3 linked regions of the Lepisosteus oculatus genome follow. The protein of the gene in region 2 interacts with the protein of the main gene of each other region in a pairwise test. Links are inferred from orthologs where the notes say so. Each region holds a gene or a part of one and is shown on either strand. Other genes may lie near its edges.

The links. The genes of interacting proteins can lie anywhere in the genome.
Region 1: the proteins of sgta (region 2) and tfr1b interact in binary tests that used the Homo sapiens proteins (3 or more experiments, as listed by UniProt). The two-hybrid records come from large-scale screens. The link is inferred for Lepisosteus oculatus from reciprocal best matches to the Homo sapiens genes SGTA and TFRC.
Region 3: the proteins of sgta (region 2) and nme3 interact in binary tests that used the Homo sapiens proteins (3 or more experiments, as listed by UniProt). The two-hybrid records come from large-scale screens. The link is inferred for Lepisosteus oculatus from reciprocal best matches to the Homo sapiens genes SGTA and NME3.

The regions. Positions count from the first base shown.
Region 1 is NC_090708.1:13,443,617-13,450,986, forward strand, and holds the start of tfr1b (transferrin receptor 1b), read left to right. Parts: upstream 1-4,370; 5' UTR 4,371-4,389; exon of another isoform or gene 4,390-4,470; intron 4,471-7,370. UniProt on the Homo sapiens protein: Cellular uptake of iron occurs via receptor-mediated endocytosis of ligand-occupied transferrin receptor into specialized endosomes. Endosomal acidification leads to iron release.
Region 2 is NC_090724.1:1,363,258-1,370,435, reverse strand, and holds the start of sgta (small glutamine-rich tetratricopeptide repeat-containing protein alpha), read left to right. Parts: upstream 1-4,169; 5' UTR 4,170-4,254; intron 4,255-4,278; exon of another isoform or gene 4,279-4,458; intron 4,459-4,518; exon of another isoform or gene 4,519-4,672; intron 4,673-6,266; 5' UTR 6,267-6,316; coding exon 6,317-6,416; intron 6,417-7,178. Other genes in the region: thop1 (thimet oligopeptidase), read right to left, coding at 1-95, 1,247-1,453, 3,591-3,603. UniProt on the Homo sapiens protein: Co-chaperone that binds misfolded and hydrophobic patches-containing client proteins in the cytosol. Mediates their targeting to the endoplasmic reticulum but also regulates their sorting to the proteasome when targeting fails.
Region 3 is NC_090714.1:4,079,999-4,088,009, reverse strand, and holds the start of nme3 (nucleoside diphosphate kinase 3), read right to left. Parts: upstream 3,001-8,011; 5' UTR 2,867-3,000; coding exon 2,821-2,866; intron 2,785-2,820; exon of another isoform or gene 2,672-2,784; intron 1,825-2,671; coding exon 1,694-1,824; intron 745-1,693; coding exon 643-744; intron 237-642; coding exon 124-236; intron 1-123. Other genes in the region: mrps34 (small ribosomal subunit protein mS34), read right to left, coding at 4,291-4,583, 5,129-5,171, 6,059-6,376; probable crossover junction endonuclease EME2, read left to right, coding at 7,903-8,011. UniProt on the Homo sapiens protein: Catalyzes the phosphorylation of ribonucleosides and deoxyribonucleoside diphosphates, other than ATP, into the corresponding triphosphates with ATP as the major phosphate donor.

The DNA of each region.
Region 1 (7,370 bases), on a different chromosome or scaffold from region 2:
GGCCACACCTCCCCCGTGCACCAGCGCACTTTGGACACGCCCCCCTGTTGTCATCCCCGTATTCCTCCATGACCTTTTTCCCCAGTGTTTCCTCACTCCATCCAGACGGATTGTGTCGTCTGCATAGGGTCTGGAAAGAACTGTTTGTGACACTGTAAAAATGTAAGGTGTTCTGCTGATGGTGGAAACATGCACTTTCAGTGGGTTATCATATTGACATTGGTTACCTTCATACTCTTAAACACTGCTGTAACATATTAAATTATAAATTGATAAAGACTGTGTAGCACCTTTATTCAGTGTTATAGCTATTACAACACCAAATAAAATCTATGCAAGTTATTCATTAAAAAACATAAAAGCCTGAGTTTAACTGAAGAGCCCAAAGTATTTTGTTTCATGTAAGTAAATATTTTTCCCCTCAAATCATTGATTTGAATTCTAAAGGTCAGGATAAAGTTAAATTAAGCAATATCAATGTTGTGGTAAATAGAACCCCACAGTTAAATATTATCTTCTTTAAACTGAAATGTGAAGCATTATGTAAGCAACAAATTGTTAAGCAAAAACAAATATAAAAATAAAATTATATTAGCAAATCACAAAGGAAATACTTTAGTAAATTGCAATGGAAATTTAACTTGGAAATACCCATTGCAGGAATTCTTGACACATTTGGGCTGAAATACCACCATAACTCTAACAATTATTTGTTAAACCTAATTTAGTCTTGTGATTTTCTGACAAAAAAGACAAAACTGACAAAAAACCTCCATGCAATTCCTGTTATCAGACTTTACAGAGGGGTTTCATATAAAAGGAGGCATTGTTTAAAGTCTTGGCTGCAGTCTTAGTACAGTCTTAGCACAATCAAAAATTGTATAATTATCAGATATGATTCTGAATATAATATTTTCAAAAACTCACACGGCTGTTAGAAGTTTGGAAATGTATTTTGTTTTTGTAAAAAAATTGGTAAAAATTGATTTTACAAAAGGGAAGATGCAAATGGCATGAAAGAAGAGATGTCATTTCTAGTGTATCATATAATTGTCCAACTAACATAAACTTCTAAAGACATGGAATATGTCATTTATAGGTATGTTTGGAAACCACCTGTGCTTTGGTTTAATTGGCACACACACACACCCTAGGGCCAATTTGCCCAGAAGCCAATTAACCTACCAGCATGTCTTTGAACTGTGGGAGGAAACTCATGCAAACAAGGAATGATTATAGATAGATAGATACTTTATAGTCTCCATACAGATAGCGCTTCAGTCTGGAATTAAACCCAGGGCCCCAGCACTGCAAGACAGCGGTGATAACTACTGTGCTACCCTACCGCACATCTTATACCAGTTCACTTCAAATCCTGTAGTCAATAAAGACCTCTTAGCTGGTTTACATTCAAAACGTTTTTATAAAGGGAAGAAACTAAGACGATTAGTGCTCTTAGGTGATCTGTTTCCTTTAAGCAATTACCGTGTAAACAATATATTTTCGGGGTTCACAAATCTCTTAAATTATCAAATTAAAATTCCAAATTAACAACGCTTTACCACACTTGTTTTCTGTGAATTGATTTCTATCTGTAACCTCAATATTAATCCTTCTCTCTGTGTGGTAGATGCCTTGGTGGTGGATTAATCCTACCACACACATAAAGATCTTGCTGGTGATCATGATAAATTCAGAACAGTATTGCAATACAGGATTGTGACAGAATAAAACTAATGAAATCTCCTATGAGACTAAACATAATCATAGAACTGCAAATATCTTTATAAAGTAACATACATTAAGAGAAAATCTTTTAAAATCAGAACAAAACCAACTATCTTTCTTATTTACACAGTAAAGAACTGGATCGATGATTTTGTTGTTCATTTACAGAAATGTGGTAAGTCATTAAATTAAATTTTGAATGAATAAGCCTTTCGGGTTTTTAAAATTTTTCCATTCCTCTAAAATTCCCACAAAGAAACTGTATTTTTTAATTTGCTATATATATATAAATAAGTCTTGAAGCTATCAAACCATGCCCTCATTAAGTAACTTCCTTATTGGCGGAAAACCAAACTTTACTTGTTGTCCTTTGTCTTTTATTGCATGTGTGGGTGATATCCATCTTTCAAAGAGAAAAGGGAAAAGGACAGAAAAGTATAGCATAGTATAAAAGTAAAGATGAACTGAATTAGTTTTTTGTGTTCTTCATTTAAGTGTTGTTCATACTGTTCAATTGTTCAATAATTTTCATTGTTCAAAATTGTTTAATGTACTGTATTTGACTGTCTTTATTATTATTATGACATAGATGAAGATCAGATCACATTTTAGGAGCCGTTCATGCAGAAATCTAGCTAATTCCAAAACACACAAACTTTTTCTCACAACTATATGTGTAAAAGCGACAATAGTAATAAACATTACCCAAGAGTCAATAAAATGTGTTGATTGGAAAATTAGAACACGCAGAGCCCATCAACCCATCAACCTTAAATTCAGGAGAAAACCCAAATTCTTCATAACAATCATCCTGAAAACTACAGTACCACAAGGTGGTCTGAGAACATCACATGTCACCTTAACCTTAACCTAAGACAAATGACCGGATTACAGCAATACATTGACCCAGATTTCTAATTGTAAATTGGACATTATTCATTGTTTCTCTAGGTTAGTTGATAAAATCCACTGAAAAACAAAATCTTGTCATTAATTCAAGCCAAAGAATAGGTACAGATGTAAAAAGGTCCCATTAACATATATTTTTAACAATTAGAGTTTTAATAATTATTTTTATCATTTGCTTTACCACCTTTTCTTAAACTACTTATACTTATAGTACAGGATATTTACATGTTGTAGGAGACTACAGCCTGCAGCCAACTCCTACAGTATGTAAGATCAAACCCCTGGACTGGTGCTGTTTTTGCAGCTGAGAGCAAATACCATTTCAAGCCAAAGCATTTCTTCTCCCATTTGAAGATAAAATGTCCTCCATGTTCATTTTCTCTGGCTTTATACGAGACACAGTATAGCTGTTGTAGGAATGGATAACATATTGTATGACATTAAAAAATACTGAGTTTGCATTCAGGGAAGAAAAGACAGTCTGTTTTTGTATGAAACCTACTGTAATTACAGGTCCATTAAGGGTTCAAGAAAGACAAAACTGCTAACTCTTGTCTGTCAAAAACCAAAGTCAACAGATAATATCAAAAAGGTTGCTGATTTGATATTCTGCTGCTTTCAACTTCAGATACCATATTTACGTTAACTGGAAAATCAGTAGAATTAGCCCAAAGGACTGTGCAGATCATGCCATTACAAACATGTGGAATTACCAGATGAGCTCTGTTTATAGAATAGTCCGTTATTTTCTATTTGAGGATTTCCAAGAGGAAACATTAATAAAAAATGCATGCACAAGTTAATGCTAATGTAAAACTGGTAACTACTGGTTTAAGTTATAGAACTACAGGGATTTAAAACACGTTTACTCTTCAGCAGGAATTACTCACCATTGATTACTGTAAGTAGCCAGTTTAAATCTTTTATTATTTTAGCTCTGAGCTGATATCATACATATCATAGAGACTGTGTACTCAAAGTAGTAGATTAACACTAGCATGTCTCCATAATAATTTAAAAGCTCTTTGGTTAATACTTTTAATAATATTTGATTACTCTTACCATTGTTCTATTCTTCACTCAATAAAAACCACTTTAATATTAGGACCAGTTGATTTAGTAATGCTAAAAAGATCAGATTCGTATTGCACATATATGGACATCAGGTTTGTATTCATATTCGTGCAGTAAAAGCAGAATTACACAGAAAAGACTCCAGGTTTATCCGTCAAAATCATTTGGGTCAGCAATGGTCACCCCGCCTTCACTTGAAAATGAAAGCCCACGTGTTATATCCTCTGTGAACGCCGTCGATTATAAACCGAACAGTTTGGGTATTTTTGTTTTGTGTGCATTTTTAATTTCAGGTTACTGTACCTTTTCGTCACTAGGAAACAAGAGCTTTGCCACCCACAACGAAAATTCTCGAAACAAACAGCGAACTGTTATGCCAATGGCTTAGTAAGTAGCTTAAACAGAACCGTAATTATCCGGACCCCAACCTGTAATCACACACACACACACAAACACGCTGAGGTCCTCACATAAACATATTTAATATTTTTTAATCCCGTCATTCTACAGTTTGGGGAAAAAGAACCGCTGAACCCGAGCCAGAGGACGCGGGTACCTCCACAACCCGAACTACAGCAGCCACCCCCACCAACGTAAAAGTAAAGTGACGTACAGTATGCGACGTTCGGCCGCTGCTCAGCGCTCATTATAAAAGGGGACAGGACTGCCGTCAAGCCGGTGAGAGCTGCAGAGCTGCACGTCTTATTCTGGGGGGTAGGGGAGGGACAAGGTAGAGAACAGTAGACGTTTCAACGTTTGGTAAGTTACTTGAGGTAGCTACGGAGATGTAAAAGGGGCTAAATCATGTTGGCTCATCTTCGGGAACCAGACGGTTTTGTTTTTTTTTTTCTCCCTCGTGGTTCAACTCGTACGGTTATGATAATGTTTAAATCATAGTTTCAGTAATTATTGTTATACGCTTAAATTCGTGCCTATTAATAGCATCCTTTGATTGCGACGCAAGACAGAAGGACATTCTGCACACTGCATAACAGCTTGGAAGCAAAAAGGTTTTCTTTTCTGTGTGCTTAAAGTGGGCGTTCGGGTGTCCTCATTCAGTCTGTGCCTGGATGCGCGATCTATTATATTTCTTGTAAGGGTTATTATTTTTGCTGATTTATCTTGTGAAGAGGTTTTTGTTCCGTCTGAAACGAGACGGTGAATATGTCACGGTGAGGAACATGCCCGGTATACGTCACTGTGGCAAAAAATAAGATACTACAGCAGTTACCTGCGGGTCCAGCTGAAATACAGGAAAAAGGAAGCTAGAGGATTTAATTTTGAAACAATTGGGATTTGTGTGGATAATGCACAGAATAGCTGGTATAACGAACATGATATATTCTCCAGTAATTCACGAGGGTACATCATACTTTCTTTCAAGCTGCAGTAAATATTGGTGCCTAAAAAAAAATGAAGTATCCGTAGCACATGGCAGGAAGTACATCGATTGACCTTGACTCTCCAGACCTACAGTAAATGAAGTGACGCTTTGAGACGTTTAATGGAGAAAAGCTTAACGCCCTGTACAGTAAAATATTAAATATAATCTTAAATATGTTTTCTTATTTAATGTTTCTTGTAGGGTAAAGACAATACAGAAAGCAGCAGCTGTAATTGGGCCTGGTGTAACACGTGTTCTTTTTTTGGCCTTAAGAGACTTCTGTCTCGTCTTTTTTCGTCTTTGAGATTAAGATTAGCGAATCGTGTTGCTTTTCGTTTTGTGCAATATTAAGGTTAACAACATTTATTAGCTGTCTGGGCAGATACAAAGGAAATATGTCCACATCACAAGGTTTTGTGAAACTGTGTGCTCTTTCTATTTGATATATAGAAAATGTATTTCTGAAACGTAATTAAATGAAGAGGGGGTCATTGTAATGGAAATGGGGCTAAGGGCTTGCTGGGGTTTGAAATGTCACCGAGGCTGGAAACAGACATAGCCGGACTTGACCATGAGGTACCTCTGATGTCCTTGAAGGCCACTGGTACATGTCCTTTCCCCTGCAGTACAGGAGGGGTGTTAGTGTAGCTCTAGTCACAACAATTGTCTTTGTATATAATAATTCACTAGATTCGCACCTTACCGATCTGAACATTAACTATATCGTGAACTAAGACACGGGGGAAAAAAGAAATCTGCTTTATACAGTATGTAACGTTTAGCTGCCAGCTTTTTTATCAGCTTTTATTTTTTTAAAGACAAGTTGGACTTTTTTATTTCCTTGTGTGAGCTGCTCCCTTCTTCAATTTTTAATTAGATTTTGAGGCTTTTTTTAAGATGTCTAATTTTAATACTTTTTTAGACATGGCAATATGTGAAGTACAAAACATTTTTATTATACATTATTTTATTATTAAGTTTAGGAAGTCTAGCTGGACTTTTGTTGTATAAATAATAAGTATTGAAAAATTACCGATACTGTACACATTTCTTAAACGTGCACTTTTACAATACTGACACTTAAGAGAAACTTTCATACGTTTCTTTAAAGTTTAAAAACTGAAAACAGATTTAAGTAAATATACTTAACACATTGGTTGCTGTGTCTCATTCTAGCTAATATTAACATTCTTTATGAGCAGATTTGTTAGGCTCTTGGATTTCTTCCATGAATAATGTGGAATCTTTGAAGTAGTGTCCCGTGTTAACTCACATGATTTGTCACAATCATGGAGCAAAAGATACAGTGGTTTTTCTTTTATGAAAGGCATTAACCTTTGACCAAAATCTCAGTCGTGTTTAAATAATCGCTCCTTTTTCAAGTTGAGCTTTCTCAAGCCCCTCTAAGAATTAAGCCAATGAAATATATAAGCTTCAATATAAATACTGTATGTAAGTATTGTCTTGTAACTTTGGAGTTAGGACAATCATCCTTCTAAATACTGGCAGGTTGTGTGATTTTTATAAAGTTATTTTTGCTCTTTTTAGTTTTAAAACCAAATATATTTTTGCTGTAAGATGTGCATGTTTGATAAATGCAGAAATAATCAATTGTTTTATGTCTCTTGGATATAAGAGATTTTTCTAGATGACATTTTTGAGTATTTACAATAAGTATGCTTGGGTTCTTTTCTTATTTCCTGCTTCAGTTTTCCTGATCCATTAAGTAACACTCTTGACTGCTTTCCTGAACTTTACTGCTGCATGTAACAAGAAACTGAGAAAAAATCAGATTTGCCGGGTCTCTCATCTGTGTCCGACACGATAAAAAAAATGCAGTTCCCTCCTGATCGTGCCTGTTGAGAGGGAAATTGATCAAGGACGTGCCGGTATCCCTTACTGGTGTTTAAATATAGTAGTACTCTGCAGTGCTTTTGTGTTCCATACTCCTTTTATTGTGAGGCTGAAGCCATCTCATGCTTGGCAGAATGGACTTCTAAATGTCTGCACCATGGGTTCGTTATGTAATATTAAAAGGCAGAAGGATGTTGTAGTTCCTTATTAATAATTTCCTTAAATGCACAGACGTGCTGGACTCGTTAAGATTGTAGGCTGGGTTCCTAAAGAGCTTTAGTGTATGGGGGATCATCTTGCAGCATGACCCTTGTGCATGCACATCTGGTTTAACAGAAAGGTTCCTCTTGCCTGCTTTTATAATGAATATTGTGATAAGGGTCTGGCCTTGAGCAGTTCTGAAACCTTGAATGATAAGGCT
Region 2 (7,178 bases):
GAACTCCGACAGCTTCTTGTCGGCCTCGGTACTGGCCTCCCGCACCTCCTTGTTGGAGGACACATGCTGGGGGAAGTCAAGCACGTTCCTCTGCACTGAAAAAGAAACAGGTTACACGTTCAATCCTTAGGACACCACCTTCAGGCTAATTGGACAAATAAAGACTTCATGCATAATAAACCACAAAGGAACAAGTAAAGGTTTATTTGAAAAGAGAAGATAGGAAACACGTTTTGGCTGTGGAGTGTTTCGTTTCCTGTCTTCTCTTTTCAGCAGGAATAACCTAACAAAAAAGGGGAATGTCAGCACTCGGACAAAGGAGATTCTCCCCCCCCCCCCCCAACAACAGATTTACGCCAGGCCTCCAAACAATCAAAACCTCAGAAAAAAATGTATATACTTCCCAGTTCCTTTAACAATACCTATATACAATTTGTTGTCAAACACAGGCAAAGTGTCAGCTACTCTTTATGTAGAAAATGCTGAGCACTCTATACCATTGCCTGCTGCATTCCTGCCAGCTCAGGCCTTTAACAAAGGCTCTGTAGTGGCCTGTGTGTTAAGTGATGTTGCTGTGGGCTTATCTGGACTTATCTGCTTATGCAAACGAGCGTTTTTATTTTAGTCAAGTAAAGTCGCTAAAGAAATCTGCAAACAGATTTTAGAAATCTGATGCCATTTATCCCTTTTACTGACATTTATGACTTCAGTGCTTGTAATTACTGCATGTCATGACAGCATACATTTAATACACTTTAAAACAGTCATGGGCAGGAAACTAACCTACTTCAGCAAGACGTAGTTGGTTTTTCTCAGCACTTGTAAGAGTGAAGGTATTTTTAAGGAATTTTATACCAAATGGCATGAGATTTGTTTACTCCTTTTAGGTTGTTCAGATCCTAGGTCATCATCTGTTCCTTCTGTTTAGATTCACGTGAGGAACCTTCAAGAGTTAACAACACCAGCTTACAATTCCCTTTCCAAATCCCTTATCCGGATATCCTGGTATCTGGACCTGGAGTGAGCACACAGCTTTAGAGACACACGGATTTTCATTTTTAAAGACCAATTAGTGGCCTAACTGAATCCGTTATTGGCTCAGGGAGGCATGATTCCAACTGTTTCTCGAAACCGGCCGAAGCGTGGCTCTCCAGGACCGAAGAGGTGAGCTCACGTTCTGATCGGAAAACCAGCCCACGTGTCCGTGTGCCGCCACGAGCGGAAACGCAGCAGGACGCGTCCTTACCTGTGTACTCCACCTCCACGTCGGCCAGCGCTTTCAGGGCGTTGTCGTAGGTGACGGCCTCCAGCTCCAGAGCCCCCACGGCGTCGTACACGCGCTTGGTCCTCTCGATCAGCTCGTCGGCCAGCTGCCGGATCTGCTCGGGGCTCAGGTCCCAGCGCAGGCGGTTCTCGGCGCAGACCCGCGGGGCGCTGGCGATCACGACCTCACCTGCCGAGGGGGCGGGGGATGGGTCAGGCCCTGCACCGCGCTGGCTAACGCCGGGTCAGGACAACGTCAGGGCAGCAGGACGCTTGCGGACAGGGGCACTGGGGGGGGTTACAGTGTTTCCCCTTCTTGCCTACCAGCTGTGACAAAACAATTCGCTCCGGCTAGGCGGAGCAGAGCAGTGTACCGGCGTGGTCCTCGCTTCAAGAAGTATTTCAGACTCCTGACTGTCATGGTTGTTTCTTGGGCTCGGATACGTCCGAACATGTGCTCGATGATAAACTCTTGCTCCCCCACTCTTCTGCAGCCAAATAGACAGTGCACCAGTAATCATCCCGTGTCTTTTGATAACCTGCTGATGTGTTTTATTTGTACAGTAAAATGCTGAAACCTGCACAACTGTACCTTTGTCTGATGGACTCCGGGTTTATTATGGGGGCATGGTGTGTCACCTTTGATATGACCTTTGACCTGTTCCAACAGAACAGTTACAAACTCCAACTGCAGCTGCTTAGAATGATGAGTACTGTTCACAGCACTAGCGTGTGTGTGGCTACTGCAGGGCAAGAAAACCACTTCTGGATGGGCTAAATGGGCAAAGGCTGTGGCCCCCAATGACAAAAATCGCACGAGACAAAATTTAAAAGCACACAACACAACTCCTTTTTATGCAGAAAAAAATATTAAAACTTTCAGGAAATTCTGGAAAACAAAACAATTAAAGCTGTGGCACTGAAATTGTACAGGGTGACATGCAGTGGCTCATGTCTGCGATGTGCTCCTGATCCATGATGCTTACCAGAAATGAAGAAGTGTGACGTGGGTAATGTAGCCAATCAATCCTCACCAAACCAAACAGCCCTGAAGTTGTGTGAGATGCTGAAGTCTACAGGTTGGCTAACAACCCGTCATCTCTTTTGTGAGACAACGTTAAAACACGATTGCTAAATGTTTTGTTCACAAGCTCAGGCTACTGGAGAACCATATTTAACCATCAACAGTAGCTTAAATTAAACTTTTCTTAGTGCCAGGAGAGGTTTACAGAGGGCACTCCAAAAGCCCAATGATAACCACCCACAGCACATGTCCCTTTGTGTGACCGGAGAGGAATATGCTGACTGACTGACACCCAGAGAAATTCCTTTCAAAACAAAGAACATGCCTGAACTCTCTTAGAGGGACATTATACAGGTGGTGTTTTTAACTGTTCAAAATAACACTTATTAATTATTATCTGTTTTTGCAATTATGGAAAATGTTTAATAGTTTCAAACACTACATAAGCAAACGGAGTTTCAGATCTACTGAATGTCAGTTTTTCGAGTAACTCCTTTCTGGATATAATTTTGTTATACTGTACTGTAGTGCAGGTGGCTACAGAAAAAGACGTGACTGATGCAATTGAATATATGGGTCCCTTTTTTGCAAGACAATCTGTGTAGAGCTTCTTCGTAGCTTAGGTTAGGAGTGTCACCTAAATCACCACTCTTAAATCACGTCCACCTGACACTGACAGATACACTGACACAGTGACATCCGCGAAAAGATTACTCGAGCCGACGATTAGGGGGGCAAGCGAGTTTCATCCACGACCACGGACTGAAGTTTTGGGAAATTCTTCTTTCAAAACAAATCCACCTCGAAAAGAAGGAAATCTACCAACTACTCGAACCTATAGCTTGCCTCCTCAAGTTGACTCCCGTGTTACTCCTGTAATCAAATACCTAAACGCGATTCCCACTTATCTGCTCGGGAGAGCGGGGAGCTGGGACTGCCCGCAGTGAAACTCGTGTAAACAGACTGTGTCTGGGAGGGGTGCCCTCAAGTTCACGACTGCACTTTGCGAGAGCAAATGATTGAGCACGTTATCCCAGCTAGACACACGCCGCCTTTGCCGGACTTTTCAGTGGAAAATATTGAAGTTATTTGAAGAAAAACTGCACTCCATAAAAAAAAATACATTTTAACGTTTTAATTACGTAACCCCCCGTAAAGTAACATAGTACGGTCCGATTTCTGAGCAGCACCCAGTATACAAAAAGCAATTCATCTTGCAAATGAGAGGAGCTCATCAAAGAAATTTAAACTGTGGGTACTTATGGGGACGTAGGTTGACAAAAAAAAAGGTTTAATAACTCACCTGTCGGGGCCATAGTACACAAGGATGAAGTAAATTCGCCCTGCAAATACTCTGCTGAAGAGCTCCGGGTCAGAATGGTGTCTGCTCACACTGAACCACGCTACTACCGGGCTGAGCAGCAGAAACTCGGTGGTTGGCTGGCCATCCTGTCAATCACTCGTTCCCCTGGAAACCGGCGGTCGCTTCCGCTTCGGGGGGCGTTGTTTTATTAACGGTACTTCCGTCCCAGACTCCTGACTGTCCCGTCTGTTGAATTAATTTCACAACAGTGCGGCGGGTCGCCCTGAGCCTCGGTTGCAGGTTACGGCAAACAAAAATAACAGCACACGTCAGCGGCGACTCTGAATGGTCGACCCCGATGGCCTCTGTTTCGCGATTCCACGGCAAAGGCACTTTAACTGTTGTGGGACAAGGTGAAAAAAAATACCCAGCGAAATCAATAAAGAAACTAAAACATAATTAAAAACTAGCAATTATTTAATACAGTCACACACCCGCGCCACATGCTTTCTGTTTTTTGTTTTGCCGAAAACATCTATTTGTTCGAATATAATCGTTCTGGGGGGGGGGGGGGTGTAGGCACGTCCGACGCGTGACGTCAGAGGACGCAGACGGCCGTCACGCAGCGCAGCGCGAGGAAACTGCGGAGAGCCGGAACCGGGAGGTGAGACCCAACTTTTCTTGCTGCCGTTTTCATTAAAACCCGCACGGTAAACGCCGTTGCCCCGAGCGGGGCAGCCCCCCCCTCCCTCCGGCAGACAGCGATCGCAGGGGCTCTGGGGGCACCTTGCAGAAAGGGGGTTGGTAGCGGCGGCGTCATCAGCGAAGCGGCCAGTTTTGCTGTACGCTGCGTTGTCCCAGATTTACGGTAAGGCCGCACGGAGGAGCGGCGGCAGTGCTGGAATCTTCTGTTTGACAAAACTCACAGCCGGCCGAGGTTTGGTCAGACAGGTGGGAAGGACGGCGTCTCTGGTTCGGCTAGATCATCAGACCGCCCGGTCGGATTCACTCGGCACAAGCGCGTAGTCTCCTCTGATCGCTCGCTCGGCGCCGGGCAGAACTCTTTCATCGATTAAAAAAAAGTACGGATTTAAAGAACTGGGCAGACTGACAACTGCGGTCGCCGGGGACTTGTTGAGAATTTGTCTGTTCTGTAGTTTTACGAGACAGTTTTCGTACAGCAGTAGTCTCATATGATGCACAGGTTCGGGGACACAGATCTGCAGAATTGGGAGTCAAGAGCGGCCTTACTGAGTGTACTCAGTGTAGGTTTGGGTCAGTATTCAGTGTTTGAAGTTGCTTCACAGGGTGCGGTTACGATTAATCAATAGTAAAGTTAATTATGCCATTTTCAAGTGCAGTGTATTATAATCCAGCCACAGGCTGTCTGTGTGTACTAGGTACGTGAAAGCTTGGGACGACCTATTAGATCAGCTCAGCGCGTACACGTTCACCTACCGTGACATAACACGTGAGTCACCTTTTTCCGGAACATGCCAGATCCGAAAAGCAAAAGTAGGTTGCTGGTATGAAGGTCCCCAAATAAAACACGTTACTTCGTGTATTGCTACGTCCAGTGCAAGCTATTGATAAAAAGAAATTCATTTTCGCCAGCAGTGTGAATAGTCTGCCATTTTATTTCATACGCATATTAGGAGGATTTACATAAGGAATGTTAGTGCGAGCTGCCGTGCTTTGCTGCTGACGATCCACAGCTGCTCCGTCGTGGTCTTCATTTCTAGACGCGAGAGCAGGCCTGTTCTTGAAGGGTGGGGGGGTCACTCTGAGCCACAGTTCTGGTCTCCTGAACCTGGCCCGGGCTGGTTTGCTCCTTGTTTACTCATGCTCCCATTCATCTGCGAGGAACTGTGCTGTTTCTGGAGGAGTTAATTGGATAATATCAACTCCAGAATAAGCGGTCGCGCACAAAATGTGCATAGCACGGTATGCGTCAATAGACAAAAAAAAATTGTAATGCAAATGATAAAGTTGGTGTGTGGTAACGCCAAGTCAATGCCCTGTTTATTTTAAAGGCTCTTTGTTTTTGTACAATTTGCAGCACGGCTGGCTTGCACATAGGCACCAAGCATCTGCAGCATACTCCTCCTGCTGGTCGTTATTTTTAACCTGATAACTGATGACCTGTCCCCACTGAATATCACTTTCTACACTGGATCGGGTGCTTTAAGTGAGAGTGGGGAGGCTTCCCATTTAATCAAATAGTGTAATGCAGAAGTTAATGGATTCAGTTTCTCCAGAAGAATGTGGGGTTGTAATACCTTATTGCAAGTTTAGGAATCACCTTAGAGTCCAACAGCAGTAGCTAAATGAAGAGCAGTAGTAATCTTTATATTTAGACTTGCTTCTTTTTGTGTGCGTATTTATCAAATGGTGCCACAACCATAATGACTGAGACACCTGTTAATTGGAAAGAGTGGAGCAGTGGAGTTGATTGAGCTCACAGGGCTATTGGCACATGAAAGACAGATCTGTAAGAGAACTGAGAGAGCAAGACTTCTCCATTTATCACAGGGGTAACCTCCTGAGCTGTGCAGGTGTCCTTGATACAGCTGGGTCAGTTGATGCTCTCTGGGTTATCTGCCTTCCTAAAAACACTCATTGGGGACTTGAAGCCCTATTCTTCTCAAACGTTTAAACATGACCGTTCCTTTCCAGAATCTCCAGAAACCTTACCTACTGCCCCAGCCTACCCCCTCAGCTACCAAATGGCAGACACAAAGCGTATCGCATTCTCCATCATTCAGTTTCTCCATGACCAGCTCAACTCGGGGGACTTATCTTCAGATGCACAGGAAAGCCTGGAAGGTAAGACGACAATTTCATAAACCGGTACTGACATTCAGTTTTCATTTTAGGCTGTAGCAGAATTTTAGTGACCTTTGCTTACAGCAGCACATTCCCAGTGGAAATGGCAATAAGTGCAATAATTACTTTGCAATAAGTAGACATCAATAGCCAGCACTGTTTTCAGCATTACAGGACAGTGCCCTCCTCTGTGCTGAATCTGCTTTCACTGGGAGCCTTTTGCTCCTGGGCTCTTGTGAGTGCTGGTGGAGACGAGGCTGTCACAGACAGGTGTTTTCAGTTCTGGTTACAGTGTGAGAAGGTGCCACTTGGGGGTGGCACATGATTGGCCATGCCAAGAGAAGCTGGGACAGGGTCACACGTGACAGGTGTCATCTCCACTTTGGATTGTAACTCGTCCTGCTGTACAGACTACCCTAGTCCAGGAGAGCCCCGGTCCAGCCAGACTTACAAACTGTCTCTGGCGTTTGGAAACAGTACCTGTAAATTATTAATGACTTAAGCTAGTGATTGCTTCAATTTAAAATACTCTGGCCCTCGGGGCTGGAGGACACTCACATTTCATCCCAAATGATTGTTAAATAATTTGACAAATAGCCTACTTAACTGATTGCCATTTAATTGTTCATACTCTTTTGAAATTGGTGGTTTAAGATTGAGCTGTAAAATGTACTGGTTTGAGGCTCTCCAGGAGCAGGATTGCAATTGATCGCCTGCAATTGAGTTTTACGTAAAATACAGCTGCACTCTTTTTCTGATATA
Region 3 (8,011 bases), on a different chromosome or scaffold from region 2:
TAATTAGCAGGAACAAAGCAGCAAACATGGAGCCGGCTACATTAGAGTAGCGCAGTGGTTCTGACTGAAGGAAGGCGGCAGGCTGGGCAGGCCAGGAAGTCCCCGAGCCCTCCTCAGTCGTACCTGCCCACTTCCACGCAGTAGTCCCCTCTGATGGTGCCAGGGAGGGAGTCCGCAGGGTTGGTCTCGCCCAGCATTTTGCGAGCCGTCTTCACCACGTCCAGCCCCTGCCACACCTCCACACAGACACAGGGAGGAATCAGACAGACTCGGAGGCAGGAGAGCCCCCCCGCGGCCCACAGACCACCACCGGCATCTTTCCCGGAAAATCATTTCAGCGATTCAAGACCTGCTACCCCTTTAAACAACAGCGCAAGAATGCTGGACATCCTTCTGACGCTTTGCAATGATTCCTTCAACTCCCCCTACTTTCGCCACTATTAAGTAGTGAAATTTTACGGCTGCTCAGAAAGCAATCAAGCAGAGCAGGTAAATAGGGGCCCTTTCGGCTTCCTTGACCACTCGTTCTTCTTAACAGTCCAATGAAAAATGGTGGAAATCAACAACAAACCAAATGACTAGAAGACTACGGAAAAGGAATACCAATCACGGGAATGCTTGCGTTCTGTGAATCCCGCTCACCATGGCGACGACAGGTCCGGAGCTCATGTAGCGGATCAGCCCCCTGAAGAACGGCTTCTCCCTCAGGTCCCTGTAGTGCTCCTTCAGCAGGCTCTCTGAGGCCTGTGTTGGGACAGAGCGGAGACACATTAGCCCCTCCATCTGCATGGGTGAAACAACATCCCCCCACCACCCACAACAGCAGGGGGGCGATGGGATTCGAGGACAAAAGTGCCTCATAAATTCCATTTACTCCCTCTCATAAGCATAGGCCATGCAAAACACATATGATAAATCTGAGATTTTGTTTTTTTTTAAAGTGTCCAAAATTGCAGGTACCGACCCCCGATAGTTCAGTGGGTGGTGTTCACGTCTCAGCTCACAGATACAGACCCTGCGGCTGCACACGGGGGAGGATGAGGGAGTGGGAGGCACACTCCTCCGACTCGCCCACCTTCCAGCCAATCAATCGTCTTTTAACATGTCACCGATAAGCTGGAGGGTCAGCGCTGATTGGAGGAAAGGTGCGTCCCTCACAGACCTGTCTGCAAGCGCAATAGGAGGCCACAGGAGGCCACAGGGGGTGCCATGAGCCGAGAGCCTAGGCTGAATATTGTCACCCTGCCTTTAAGGTGTGACTGCCCGGAGAATCACAGTCCCGTTCGGCTAGCGACGTGATGCACTTGAATGCACACCCCTGCTACTCGAGAGACCCCAGTAGCTGTGTATACTTGTGTTGGCCTGCCCGAGTCCGTGACCCTCACTCCCACTCCCTGTTAAGCCTCCTCTGGTGCTCCTTCTACCCATGCGTCCAATCTGAAATCCCCATGGCAGTTGCAATCATGAAGTACCAAGATCAGGGATCACATGCCCGGCGGCCCAGTCCTGCTTGAGAGGTTTTTCTGGGTTTCCTTCAAAGCAGAAGTGGTTGAATGGGTCCAGTCAAGCCCATCACGAGCTGATTGAGCTCACTCAGAGGCGGGTCGCGGTGAGAGCGGCAGACACACGGCTCCTTCAGCGGTGGAGGGTGTGCACAGCGCCGCCCGGGTGACAGGCGGGAGGGCAGTCTTACCTGCACCAGCTTCAGCCCCACCAGCCGGAAGCCCTTCTGCTCAAACCGGCGGGTGATCTCGCCCACCAGGCGGCGCTGCACCCCGTCGGGCTTCACGGCGACGAAGGTGCGCTCGTTAATGCCCGCCCAGGCTGCAGAGATAACACAGGTCAGCCGCCGCACACGCAGGCAGCTCGCGGGCCTCCGAGACCCTGCCGGCACCCAGCGCTGGACTGGGATTCAGACTAGCCCTGTTCTGGAGGCGAGAAACTGTGCAGAACTCATCTCCGGGCTTTGGGTTGGCGTGCTGTCTGCTGTCCTCGGGATAGAGGATCCAACCCGCAGGATTCACCTCTCGGGATTCTCAGATCCACTCCTACAAACCTTTACTTATTGGCACAACAGTTCAGACGTACTGTATATGTAGAGCAGCAAATGTTTGGGGATTTTGTTTCATGTGTGCTTAAAGGTGATAACAGAATGCAGGTGCCATAAAGGCTTATCGGAGAACACTACAGCTGAGCAGAACATCAGCAAGTAGCACAAGCAGAAACTTCATTTCTGCTTGAAGGGCCAGAGGTCACAAGTGTGAAGCATTGGAAAGCAACAAAAAAAAAACGCACATCTGTTGCCAAACGTTTGCATCAGCTAGCATTAAAATGCACAAAGGCGTGTACACCGCATTTGTCTAGGCCTCTATTGTCCTGAATGTACGCGCTATTTTCCACTGTTCATTATAGACGCGGTTATGTTACATGAAATGCTTGAAATGCACATGACTGGTTTCAAAGGCTGCCTACCCAGATAACCAGTTTTACTTCATTTGCAATGCCGATATGACACTTGGGTTTACAACGCTAAAAAAGCCTACACAAAGGATAGCTATATGCATGCTCCAGGAGTGCACATTTAAGCGCAATCTGCTCAGACGAGTTTTCGATAGGATTATTAGATAGCTCAGACCGTTATAAAACGTCAGAAAACTGGAAAATACTGTACCTGCGTGCAGCCACTATCCCTATAGCGTATTTCGAAAAGGATGAACTTGGGACTGTTCGAATCCGGAAGGATAACGTCATTCCCACCACCAAATTTAAAAACTAACACTCAACGAAAATCACTTATCGTGACACTAAAATTGTGCTTACCGGTCTGAAAGATGTTTGCAAATATGGTTAAAACGAGACAAATCATTATTGCATCAGAAACCACAGGCGTCCTCCCAAAAAAACTCACACACCGGCCACACCAGACAGTGAGAGCGCCGCGGGTGCCCGAGCGCGTTCCCTAAACCTCCGGGCTCAATCACGCGAGCACGAGGAAATGCTGGTGAAGAGGCGAGCACGTCGTCGACGTCAGAGTTTCTGTTAAGGGCGTAGACTGCATATAGCTACACTGTAAAATATTTAAAGAAATATGTTTACATTATGCCCTTTGATTTCCCCAAAGTAAGACTTTCTAGAGCTTGAAAATGCCCTGGACTTTGTAACTCATGCTAATTAATAAATATCATCCTCCTGTTGCCTTAAGATATGGTTTGCAATATAATAATAATTACTACCACTAAGCATGTTAAATATTTCTAAATACCAGAATTGTCACTATTTACAACCATTAACAAAATTCATCGAGGAATAACGATTTGTAAAGTGCATTTTTTTCCCACTTAGGGAACATTCAAATTGTATTAGGCAAAAAGATTTGTGCATATTTACTTACTGTATGTGTTCTCGATAAGGAAAGCCAGTATGAAATGATCAAAATGAGAACTAAGATTGAACTGAAATGATTCCCCATTTGAAATGTTTATTTAGAGGAAGTGAAGCTGTCACAGTGTGACAGCAAACTGTCAGTAATTGAAGGTTTAACACCCACTATCTAAGGTAAAAAACAAAACCGCTTTAGACGAATGTTTTATTTCCGCTGTTTTTTATAATCAACTGCCGCTCTGCTTAAGTCTGTCACAAAACACATCACACAGACACAATCCACACAAATTTAATCACAAAACAATTGCAGTGAGGTTTACAGTGGCAGTAATGATATTACAAACCACATGTACATATGCCCTCTTCTTCGAATGAGATAGTTTATAGAACATTTACTCCTACTGGAAACTGAGAGCTCCACTGAGTGAACCAAGGTACAGTGCTGTAGTGCTCAGATGTTAAGAAACCTAGGAAAACAGTCATTGTCAACAAGTAACAGCTAAGACGCTGTACAGGTACTGCACATAGTAAGAGAGGAAAGAGGGCAGAGAGACTCATCTCAACTTTTTGCAGACTTTGCACCAATTGGCATGGCAGAGCCGTGTGTGGGAACAGAGAAACAACACAAGTGAAAAAAAGAGGAGGACTTTGAATGCACATCCATACTTGAGAGGTTACAGCAGGGAGCTGCATCAGGGTATGATCTGCAAAGGGACCAGCAGGGGTTAAACCCAGTGCAACGTGCTCTTTAATCAATGCATTGCAGTGCAGTGTGGATGGTTAACTGAACACAACGGCCTCTGCTCAGCGGGGTTCCCCCGTGTGCATTTAACCGTGAATGCCGTTCAGTCACTTCTCCACCCCTGCAGAGGTCAGAGGTCAGAGGTCAGAGGCCAGAGGCCAGAGGCGTCACACGGGGGTTCCCTCCTGGCGCTGCTGACTCTCCAGCTGTCTGAAGTAATCCTTGGTGAAGTGGACTTTCCTGTGCAGGTCGATGAGGGGCTCCTCGCCCGTCGGCCGGCCCTCCTTCTCTCTCTGCGCCATGATCATGGCCCGCAGGAGAGGTGGGTACAGCACGTATCGCTCGCGGGGGTCCGGCGCGGGCGTGAAGCGCTTAAACTCCTCTTCCTCGTGTTTGGGCACCAGACGCCAGTCGTGGTACATCACTTTGTCTATCTCTTTCACTTTCTCCTCCGTCTTCCCTACAGAGGAAAATAACAGAACGCACACTCTGAATGTAAAACGAAGCAGAATGCAGTATCACTGCCCACCACCTCCACAGGGCACAAGTGAGGCTTCCTGATGTTGCGATATTCCTCTCACATCGCATTCAGCTCTGGAAGGTAAAAGTTCTGTTTTACAGCTCTTGCTCTTAAGAATCCATTTCTAAGCATGCCAGCTATGCCTCTTAAACTTGAAATTTGTTAGATCAATTTTGTGACGAAAACCTGGAAATACTGTAGCCATCAAGAATCAGAATTGATCTCTCACTCCATCCTGACTAAAACAAAATTACTTATTCAAGTGCAAAAACCAGGTCACCACTGACCTCAGGATTAACTCTACCAAACAGATAAAATGAGGTGCCTGATTTCGAAGAGTCTTGTCGGCAACTTGTCAAATATCCCCTTTGCACACGCATTGCGCTTAATAAGCTACCTGTACCTCTATTCTAACCAAGGCATGGACAGGTTATGAGTAGAAATCACTGCAGGTAAAAAAAGAACCACAGAAGAAGTAAACTTACCTTTAAAGGTCAGAATGCCCCATGCCTTTCCATGGTCCATATTCTGTGTTGTTTGAAAAGGAGAGAAATATTATACATCCTATTAAATAATATGTTCTGTTTATTATATTAGTTAATAATAGCTCTTTGATGGGACAGAAGTTACAGGACCAGTGAGACCCCCGATGACTCCCAAGTTACGAACGTTCTTCAGGATGCACAGCCTTTGCTGACTGAAGTTAACTGAAGCGAAACCATCTTTCTGAGATGCCCTCGCCAAATGCAATTATTTGTTTGCAATACGAATTTACAGAGTTCTTTTCATGCTCAATAACGGGGCCTGGTTGCATTCTCTAATTTTCTATCTTATCTATCTATTTCTTTCAATCTTAGGTTCTCCCGTGCAGTTCTGGTACAATATTTGTTTTTAAAAAGCCTATCATCTGTCCTGGTTCATACATTTCCCCCAAGTCACAAGCTGCTGATGACTTAATAATAATAATAATAATAATAATAATTGCTTACACTTATATAGCGCTTTTCTGGACACTCCACTCAAAGCGCTTTACAGGTAATGGGGACTCCCCTCCACCACCACCAATGTGCAGCATCCACCCGGATGATGCGACGGCAGCCATAGTGCGCCAGAACGCTCACCACACATCAGCTATCAGTGGGGAGGAGAGCAGAGTAATGTAGCCAATTCATAGAGGGGGATTATTAGGAGGCCATGATTAGTAAGGGCCAATTGGAAATTTGGCCAGGACACCGTTAAAAACCAGGGCGTCATAGCTCATGAGGACTAGACCTGGGAGCATTACATTAAACACCTGAACAGTAAAATTAAACATCAGTGCTCTATCGCTGCCTACACTGTACTCCGTGGTATTTACGCAAAACAAAATCTACTTGTGTCAGCGGTGGGATCGCTGTCTGTCACCCATTACCGACCTCAGCGGTGTAGTCCACCTTGACCTTGGTGACCTGCCAGTAGCAGGGCTCCTGGTGCTCACTCAGCCAGGACTTCCGGGTGAACAGACGCCCTATGCCGAACAACCTCAGGCCGGACAGCAGGGAGAAGAGGCGGGTCTCGCGCCGCACGTCCTCCCAGGCCAGCACTGGCAGCTGCTTGCCCGTGTAAGGCCGCGTCATGGTCTTGTAATCGAGGGCGTAGCGCTGGGAGTCCCGCGGCCTCTCCTTCAGCGCTCGGTACTCCCGGATCTTCCGGGCCATCTCGGCGATTGGCCTCAAGCGTTTCTTCCGTGTCATCCTGAAACAAAACCCACCAGCATTACGGTGGAGCGGCTCGGGGTGTTGTGGAACAGTGGAAAACATGACCTAAAAATGCATGATCCCATTCGGATCGTTTAAACAGACCTTCTGTAGCACTCAGAAGGAGTAATGCATTCGAACAGCACTCGCTTCTGTCTGAGAAAACCATTCTGCACTCAAAGCCAAGCCCAGTTCATTATGTCTGGATGACTTCCTGATGGATTTAACCAATTCATATATCTCCTGTACCTGTCCCATGGATTATAGCTACTTGTATGTGTGGAAGCTCATCAACTGATTCCAGAGTGGCACAATTTCAGAAAAAATGCACTCTGGACTCCTACTGAGCGTTGTTGTTGCTAGCTGTGCACCGGTGACAGCACCGACCAAGCCATCAACAGACTCGCCACGACACTGAAGTGCTCTTCTAATGAAAAGAGTGGGACAAGCCAAACACGACGTCTGGACCTGGCATTAAGGGGTATTTAAACAGAAAACACGTGTGATCTAATTCCAAGTCAGAGGGATTTTCAGTGCTCGTTAGACCTGCATTGGAAACGAGAGATCACAAACCGGCTGTTCAAAGTCACTTCTAAATCACGTTTAACTCGTTTTTTTTTTCGTTTGACCTTTTTACATTTTGTCAGACACTATTCAGTTATATGAATACATTTATGCAAAAAACACGTGGGAAAAGCAGTGTGGTGTAAGAATGTTCTCGGGTTATTTTTCAAAACGTCATCTACCCCTCATCTCCCTTCTCACAAGCACTTAATAAACAATGCTTTTGTTAAGGTATACGAAATTCTATAACCCGTATTCATTATAATTTTTTTAACGTTTAAGAATAACAGCATATAATTTTCAGCAATGAAAGACACCTCTAACCTTTTTTTCTGCAGTTAACCTCAGCCACAACGTAACTTCCTTTGACCGTTCCAGCACCCAATTTCTTCCGTCAACGTTTACATTTCGTAACATGGTTCCGACTGGAGCGCTATCATGTGAATTGGTGGAGACATCGGAGGGCTTTGTCTCGTATTCAAAACAGCAGTTCAGCACAATATTTAGAAAAAAAAGTGTTTAATGTCATTTGTGGTGAAGTCGCAGTTTTCAGCACTGAGACCACAGAGATCAAGCCCTAGTATCCTGGTATCGTCTAGGTTAATGAGTATTTTAAACGCTGTAAATGGTTTAAATGTTTAAGTGGTGTACCGTATGTGTGCACTTACCAACACGAATCGTGGTTTACTTCAGTTATATTTGAAGAGACATCGATACTGGCATACGATTATATATACACCTGTGTATAACAACTTTAAAGTGCATTTGAACAGCCTCCCGTGATTCGGAACAAATGCGTATTTTTAAACCTAATTTAAAATAGATATTTGCACAAACACATTTGCTAAAAGAACAATAAAAATATCGAGGACTGTATGAAATGCTAGTCTAGCAGCTTTTAATAGCCATTTTAAACGTGAAAGCAGCATAGTTCAGAAAAAAATGCCGAGGTTAAAAACATGTCCCTACTTTTGAAGAGGGCGAAGACCTGGGAAATATCGGAGTCTGAAGCTGAAAGCGACTCGGAGACCCAGGGCCGGCGTACGTGCGCCTGTAGCTCCGAGAGCC